Ovis aries: one gene and its partner. The main gene of each other region encodes a partner of the protein of the gene in region 2 in a complex. Links are inferred from orthologs where the notes say so. Each region holds a gene or a part of one and is shown on either strand. Other genes may lie near its edges.

What was found.
Region 1: the proteins of STX12 (region 2) and VTI1A are in contact, whole or in part, in a crystal structure (PDB 2NPS), measured with the Rattus norvegicus proteins. The link is inferred for Ovis aries from reciprocal best matches to the Homo sapiens genes STX12 and VTI1A. Residues at the interface, in NP_075228.2 of Rattus norvegicus: Glu185, Ile188, Gln189, Leu191, Glu192, Ile195, Leu196, Val198, Asn199, Phe202, Lys203, Leu205, Ala206, Ile209, His210, Gly213, Ile216, Asp217, Glu220, Val223, Glu224, Ser226, Glu227, Val230, Glu231, Ala233, Ser234, Asp235, Leu237, Gln238; in XP_038945999.1 of Rattus norvegicus: Arg131, Arg134, Ser135, Arg138, Leu139, Ala141, Gly142, Ile145, Ala146, Glu148, Thr149, Ile152, Gly153, Met156, Asn159, Leu160, Asp163, Arg166, Arg169, Ala170, Arg173, Leu174, Glu176, Thr177, Asn180, Leu181, Lys183, Ser184, Ile187, Leu188.

Annotation. Positions count from the first base shown.
Region 1 is NC_056075.1:32,506,374-32,510,650, reverse strand, and holds the start of VTI1A (vesicle transport through interaction with t-SNAREs homolog 1A), read right to left. Parts: upstream 3,018-4,277; 5' UTR 2,863-3,017; coding exon 2,769-2,862; intron 1-2,768. UniProt on the Homo sapiens protein: V-SNARE that mediates vesicle transport pathways through interactions with t-SNAREs on the target membrane. These interactions are proposed to mediate aspects of the specificity of vesicle trafficking and to promote fusion of the lipid bilayers.
Region 2 is NC_056055.1:239,297,536-239,301,349, forward strand, and holds part of STX12 (syntaxin-12), read right to left. Parts: intron 600-3,814; coding exon 462-599; intron 1-461. UniProt on the Homo sapiens protein: SNARE promoting fusion of transport vesicles with target membranes. Together with SNARE STX6, promotes movement of vesicles from endosomes to the cell membrane, and may therefore function in the endocytic recycling pathway.

The DNA of each region.
Region 1 (4,277 bases), on a different chromosome or scaffold from region 2:
CCATAACACCTTTCTCAGTATTTCTGACTACAGCTACCAAATGATAGGCTTCACAACAGACCATTTTTCTCCCTGTACACGGTGAGATAAGCAACTAACTGCAAAGGAACCTTTTGCTTAAGATCCTTCAGGAAGCCTGCTTGTTGGCATGGAATTCCAGCCTCTATAAAGTATCTCCCCCACTTACAACTCATCGTCAGAGAAAGAGGAACGTTACAATTAGTGTTAGTGATGGTTTCCACTCATCCATTTTCCTGACTTTACTCCAGAATACAAATCATTAAAATCAAAGCTCAAATATAGTGCAATAAGAATATTACTTAAGAAGAGACTGATCTATCTTTTGGTCCACAGAGTAATCAAATTTCTTTTTGAAGTTTTAAAATATTTAATCTTTTCTATTCTCTTGGAAGTAACACTTTAACACATTGTACATGCACAGCAGAGAATGAAGTTAGTTGCAATCAATCCAATTTATTCTAATCCCATTTCAGTAAGTTAATATTTCAGGGACTAAACTGCTTTGGCTGAAAATTTTGCTCCAATTTTTAACCTTTACTTGGGTAATTTCTGGGTCAACCACCAATGATGCCAGGAAGAGATTATAATTACTTTTAATCATACTAGTTTTGCATGGTTGCACATAATCAATTCCTGTTGTCCACAGATATACATCTGAAATGCATAACTACAAACATAATATTTTTTATCTTTCCCTATTTATCAACTAGAAACAGATTATAAAATGAGCAAGTACAAATAATTATTGAGAGGGAAACCACAGTATTTTTAAGAATTACTATTTTATTTAATTATTCAAGTTAGTAAGCATTTTTCCAATGCCAGCTATAGTCTCCTTTCAATTCCCATGAAGCTGCTTCTTTGGACCTTACATTACATTGTAGCTGTAGAAATTCAAGGTCTCTAAGTTACTTAATTCAAAGGTTTCTATGTGGTAAGAATGGTCACATTAAAATAAAAGGGAAGAAAAAAAACAACAATTGTAACAAATCTGTTTTCTTGGAATTGGCTGTTACAATTTTGCACCCAGGAATGACTTTGTTACTTTATAGAATAGCTTCTCAATACCAAAGCTATTAGCCCAAACAAAAGAATGTTTGCTAAGCTACAATTCTGACAATTAAAACAGAGCAAAAAAATCCCACAAAACCACAAATCCTGATATTCTGAGGTTCTGGGACTGAAGTCAAAGGTAGGCTCCAACGATAATGACAACAAAAATCAAGATGATCTTGGGTGGTGGAGGAAAGCAGAACTGAAGAGAAGAGGCGAGGTGATGTATCATGAAGTGATGAGGCCACTGGCCACTTTCGCCACAACAATCTCCCAGGCAGCAGAGCTCCGTGGTAGATGCTACCTTGGTTCTTTCCTCTTGTTCCCTCACTTGGACTCATACACCTCTTTAAGACATCATCCTCCACCTCCTCCAGAACTAACTGGGACTTCAGGAGATGAATGGGGTGTAAGTTCAGAGATCCTGGCTTCAAGCAAATGTCCCTATTAATAGAAAACAGGTGTGGGAGGGGGAGGAGAAAAATAAAGAAATAAAGGAATAAAATTATTTATAAACACATAAGTTTGGGGAGAGGTGGGGAAAGGAAAAGAGGAATCACAGCTTCGGTATAGGAGAAATTATTGCTGGCATCAAGGACTGACTGACAAGGTGGAACAATGAAGTTGACCACCGGTTTACAGATAAACTTTACACCACAGAGTGAAGGTATACGGTTCAATTTCCCTACCACAGCTAAGTTCCTGAATAGCAATCTTATTTGCAACTAAATACTCAAATTAAATCTGTATTGAGAGAAAACAAATCCTAAAACAATATCCTACAGATGAAAATTACATGATATCATATTTATGTATCTGTTCATTTCCTTGAACATTTTCCTGAGCTCCTTCTAAGTAAATGCCAAGGAAACCAAAGATAGCTCCCACCTTCACATAGTTGACAGTCCAGCATTTAAAATAAGATGTGCTAAAACAAAAAAATTCTTCTGAATGACAGCTGTGGGATTTTAAAAGTGAGAAAAATTATTCTGTACCAATTTTTACACATCGTTTCTCAAGAAGGATGAGAAAAAAATAAATGAGCTTGGTAGTATGAAAAATATTAATGATTATAGCAGCTAACATTTTAAAAAAAAAGGATTTTACATATGTTAAGTCATTTAATCTTCACATGAGAGATGCACAATTCTTTCCATTTTACCAAGAAACAAAAGTTGCGGGAAGTTAAGAAACTTGCCTAAATGCAACTTCTAAGTGGCAGGGCTGGGATTTGAATCCAGGCACCACGGCTCTCAACCCTGCTTTTCTGCCTATAGTAATAACATCGTTACTAACAAAACAACGTTGCTGTATGGTGTAGACCCATGACCTTGGTACGTTAATTCATTCTCGTTGAATACTCTCACATCTCTGTATTTCACAAACAAAAGTAACAGAAAAGCCAACCAAAACGAAGACTCAGAGAAACGTTCCCATGGTTATACGAGTAAAAAGGTGGAGAAGTCCAGATAAGAACTCCAAAAAAGCTTCAGATTCCAAAGGCTCTGCACCCCACAATCCAGCTTGGATCCTCCCCTTACCCTCAACCCACTCAACCATTCCTCCCGGAGGCCCCGACACTACTTCATCCTCCAGGCTCGCGCCTAAGAGGCATTGAGGCAGAGTTCCATCGTCCACACCGGAGCCTCCCCACTTTCCAGGACACCCCCGCCCGGCCTAAGAAGCGCCCTTACCAGGTGGGAGTCGGGGGACCCTTGCAATCTTGTTGGTGATCTCTGCTGTGAGCACCGCGAAGTCCTGCTCGTAGCCTTCAAAGTCGGACGACATGGCGGGTTCCGGAGTGGCCGGCCCGGGTCGGAGCCTAGAACGGAGCTGAGGTCACGCGGGGCAAGAAAAACAGAGTGTAAGGACCCGGAAAGTTCCCTAGAGAGCGGAGCAGAGAACCGGGGACAGCTCCCAGGCCGACCGCTTCCTGGTTGTTCGTCGCGATCTTGGTCCTCCGGAAGTTGGGCTGGGTGCGTGTTTCAGTTTCCGTTTAGGCTCCAAGATTAAGAAGTTCTCTAAGGAAAACCCCTTAAATCAGTGTCCCTAAAAGCCTAAAAAAACCTCGTGTTCTCAGGAATCATTTAAAAGCTTTTTTTTCCTTCCTCCGCGTTTTGGAAAGTGGTTCCGGTTCCCCAAACTAGAAGCCAGAGGAACTTGCTTCCCGACGGAAGGTTGATGCGGCGGACCTCCCGGAAGTGGCTGTCACGGAGACTGCGCACTGAGCTCGAGCAGGAGAGCAGCTGCGAGGGCGCTGGCGGAGCGACGCGCGGGTCGTGGCTGGTCACACACCCCAGCTTCTAGCGCACAGAATTTACTTTCTACTTGCGTTGGGCTGGGGTACCCAGGAAGGAGTTATCCGAGAGGGAGAGAGTCTGCTCCGGGTGAGCCCGAGCCGCCCCAGAAATGCGATGGCCGAGGAGCGGGCACTGAGGACCGGACCGAGGTGGGAGTCAAAGCAGGGGACATGATTTTGCGGTCATCGCCCCACCCGAATGAAGCCAGCATCTCCAGAAAACCGAGACCAACCACCCTTACCAAGATGTTCGTCCCCTGCGTGAGGATTTCTCAGTGCTCTGCTCCATAACACGGGAGGGAAACTGAGGCACGAGGCAGCGCGACATCTCTTGCGTGGAAATCTTTGTTGCTCTGGTTCTCAGATCTTCTTCGCTTGACTCACTCCAGTCCAGTGCTAAATAGCCTTCTACAGATCTTCCCCGCGCTCGCCGTCCTGCCTTCCCGGTCCCTCGCCTTCCCCCCCCCCTCCCGCCCCCGCTCCCTCCCTCCCCGTCCCCCCAATAGTCTCATTCGTGCTTATTTTCATCTACGCCTCCGGCCCTGAGTTCACACACACGTCTCTCTCCTCACCTCCTCTCCCCGCTCCTCCCCTCCCCTCCTTGAGCTTTCATCCTCCGATTTCTTTACTTCTAACACAAGTAGACCTTACGTTAGCCTTTGAGGGGCAACCGCAGGCAAATGCTGTAGACCTTGTCTGGATCAAACTGGATTTAATTCAAGAGTGGGTAGGAGACAGTTCAGAACTCTGTAAAGGAGGTTTGATGATTTGGCTTCTGTCGGGTTCAGCTGTCACTCACCCAAGTGGTTTAATCGCTCAGCCTCTCTGAGCCATTTTCTTTTCTATGAAGAAGGAAACTGGATTAGGTCAACTATAAGGCCCTCCATCCCAGCTCTAAATTGTT
Region 2 (3,814 bases):
TATGGGTTCACACCTTCTCTTAGGCTTTGATCTTAATATTTTCATGGCTCTTCGATATTTTTGAGACACTGAGTTGTTAAAATCTAGTATCTGTTAATTCTTTTCAAAGGGAAGGCTAGTCCAAATAACCTGGCCTTCTACATTCTAGGAAACGGATTTAACCTTTCTTTTTAAAAAGCTTTTAACATAAGATCAATATGACAATGAGAGAGAAAAAAGAAAATTACACATGATTCTACCTGTCATTTTTGTAAATCTTTGTGCACATTCCTTTCCAGTCTTTGACCGTATGTACACTTTTTTAACAAAGGTTATACCAATCTGACATTTTCATAGCAGCTAATGTCCATATTTATTATTCGCAGGGATAGTAAGCAAAGACAAATGGTAAAAAAAAATTTTTTAACTTAGGAAAGAACATCCTGAAATTTGCAGAGACCTTCTTTTGGAAATAAACTCACAGAAAGACGAGATCCAGCTCTTGCTCGGGCAATGCTCTCCTTCTCCTTTTCAGACACCCTTCTCTGCACAGCCTGGAAACTGTTTAAGGCTGCAGAGAAGTCATTCATGAGACGTTCCTTCTGAAGTTTCTGCTGGCGCTGGGAAATTAAACAAGAACTTAACATTTCATATTAACCCAGAATCATTTGGTTTTAATTCCCTTTAAAAGCAAAAGTACACCCCCTAAAAATTCCCAACTAGGAAAAGAACTATGAAATAGGCTCTTCCTTAAATGAATGAACTTGCTCTTTTCTAACTCAAATCTCTGGTTAATACTATAGGCCAAGTCAGAGTTTTCCTTCTTTCATTCTTACAAACCTGTGAACTAGGTGTCTTTTACCATGTAAGGGAATCTCAGAGGGAACCACAGTTCAGAATTTTAGTTCCCAGGAGAATCTAAAAGCAGAATAAACACCTATGGATTTAGACTAGACTCAGAGACTGTTTCCTTGCTACATGTTCAACTGTATTCATCTATAGTTAGTTCACAGCTTACCTGAACACCACAGAATCGTTTGCCTTTACACTGAAGTGAGGTTCAAAATCTTTGAGAACCTAAAAGCTTATTCTGCAGAGTTACAGGCTATGTTTATTTAGCTTACTGATACTATGTCTCAAAAAGCACATACTGAGAGCACTTGCTATAGTCAATTGGTACTATAGGTTATACAGAGGCAAGTATAATCAGTAAGAATCCAAGTGGTCAAGGCCTCAAGAGGTGGTGGACACTAAGGGAAGAGTAAGGCATGAATAGTAGAGAAGGGGAAAGGCAAAGCCATGCAAGGTAACTGTGTGAGCAAAGGCATGGTGGCAGAAATTTGCAGAGGATTTATAAAAAGATAGTTTGACTGGAACCAGAGGTTTTTTTCATGAGAATAGCTAAAAGATAAAATTGAAAACATAGGGAAGGAGCTGGCCACTGCAGGTTTTATATTTATTCTTTAAAGATTTGCTTACTTGGCCATACTGGGTCTTAGTGGCACACGCAGGATTTTTGATCTTCGTTGTGGCATGCAGGGCTTCCCAGGTGGCACTAGTGATAAAGAACTCACATGCCAACGCAGGAGACTAAGAGACGGGGTTCCACTCCTAGTCTGGAAGATCCCCTGGAGTAGGGCAGGGCAATCCACTCCAGTATTCTTGCCTGGAGAATCCCATGAACAGAGAAGCCTGGCAGTCTACAGTCCATAGGGTCACAAAGAGTTAGATATGATGGGAGCAACTTACGACCCATGCACTCAGGCATGCAGGTTCTTTAGCTGTGGCCTGTGGAGTTTTTAGTTGTGGAATGTGAACTATTAGTTGTGGCATGTAGGATCTAGTTTCCTAAGGATTGAACTTGGACCCCCTGCATTGGGAGGGCGGAGTCTTGGCCACTGGACCACCAGGGAAGTCCCCACAGCAGGTTTTATTTTATTTTTTAAATTTATTTTTGGTTGTCCAAGTCTTTGTTGCTTCACACAGGCCTCCTCTAGAGCGGGGGTTACTCTTTGTTGCAGTGCGAAGGCTTCTCAATGCAGTGACATCTCTCATTGCGGAACACAGGCTTTAGAGCTCAGGCTCAGTATTTGTGGCTCACAGACTTAGTTGCTCTGTGGCATGCAGGATCTTCCCAGATGAGGGACTGAACCTGCGTCCTCTGCATGGGCAGGCGGACTCTTAAACACCGGACCCCCAAGGAAGCCCACCCGCTGCAGGTTTAAAATGCCAAGCTAATGAGTTTGGGATTCAAAGAGCAATGAGGATTTCTATGAGGGGACCATGATGTGTACAAAATGATAACTTCCACAATGGTGAACACAATGGAATGCGAAAATGAAATAAGTCAAAAAGATGACCACAATAATCAAGGTTTAAGGTTAGGAAGACATGGTATCAGTAATGAGAACACAAAGAAATGAGTCTAAAAAACATTATGCGACTGGCTGTGGGAAAGGAGGATAAAGTCAAAGGATGACTCACATTTCACACCTGGGAGAGAGATGGTAACACTGAAAGCAAATTTAGATGAGGGACTTTTTATCCCATTCCTGAGATTTTAATTTTTACATAAACATTAAATAATAGAGGGGAAAAAACATCATTCCTCAATCTCACTATCCAAAAATATTATCTTTTAAGTATATCATAAACATTTTCCATGTTAACATACTCTTCACAATTCAGTCTTTGCTATACAATACTCCATTAAGTTGATCTAGTAAATTTTATGTAAGCATTCCTTCTAGATTGTTCTATTTTTAACTATTACAAATAAATAAAGCTAAACTAAGCCCTATTGTAACACTAATATTTATACAATGCTTATCACATATCATATTGTTATAACCACTTTATATAATAACTCATTTAATCCATCTATCAACCTATACTATTAAAGTACCTATTTGACAGATCTGGAAAATGAGGCACAGAGAGGTTAAGCAATTTGCCTAGGATCATATAGTAAATGGCAAGGGCAGAATTTAAATCCAGGAAACCTGGCCCCAGATTGCATAGCTGGGTTTTTTTCCCTTAGAACTTAGAAACATTTGCATGAGTGGAAATATTAGGTCAAAAGGCACAAACTTTTTTTTATGACAATAAGTACCGTCAGTCAGCTTAGTGAGGGGTTTGGGTGAAACAGAAGGGATTCATTAGCGTATCAAAGAGGCGATGTCAGAGCAGGAATCAGCAATATGGGCCAAGTACTTAGAGGTGCAGGGGCAAGGGATTGAAAAAGATTTGGGGACCATGTCATAAAAGTCACAGGAAATTCATAAAAGTAGAAAAGACTCCTGGGGGAGAAAGCATAAAATAACAAAATTAGAGGATCACTGGTAGCACCTCGGGGCACACCCACTTCTAACAAGACACAGAGTCAGAGAAAGACGCTGAGACTCAACCTGGGGTAAGAGAGACAAAAGGCCAGAAAGGGGTCACCAGAGTCAGGGGACACGAAATCTACTTTGTTGTCTTTACTATGGAAATCATGGGAAGAAAAAGGAAATTTCAGTAAAGACAGGATGAACAGGAGGATCAAATAAAACAAAGAGAAATGAATAAAAATGCAAAAAACCTCCACTGGATTTGGCAATTAGAAGATCACTGATAACAGTGCGTAAGTATGAAAGAAATGTGAAAGTACGATGTATGGTTTGATAGTCCAGTAGCAAAAAGATGAGTGACAGGGCTAAGGTTAATTAGATAAAGAAACAGTTGAAAAGGAAAAGAATATTCAGCACAATAGGAAGAAGGGAATCCAGGATTTATATTTCACCAGAGATAATACCTCTGTGGATTTGTTTTATGTTCTTAATGATTCAAACTTTGC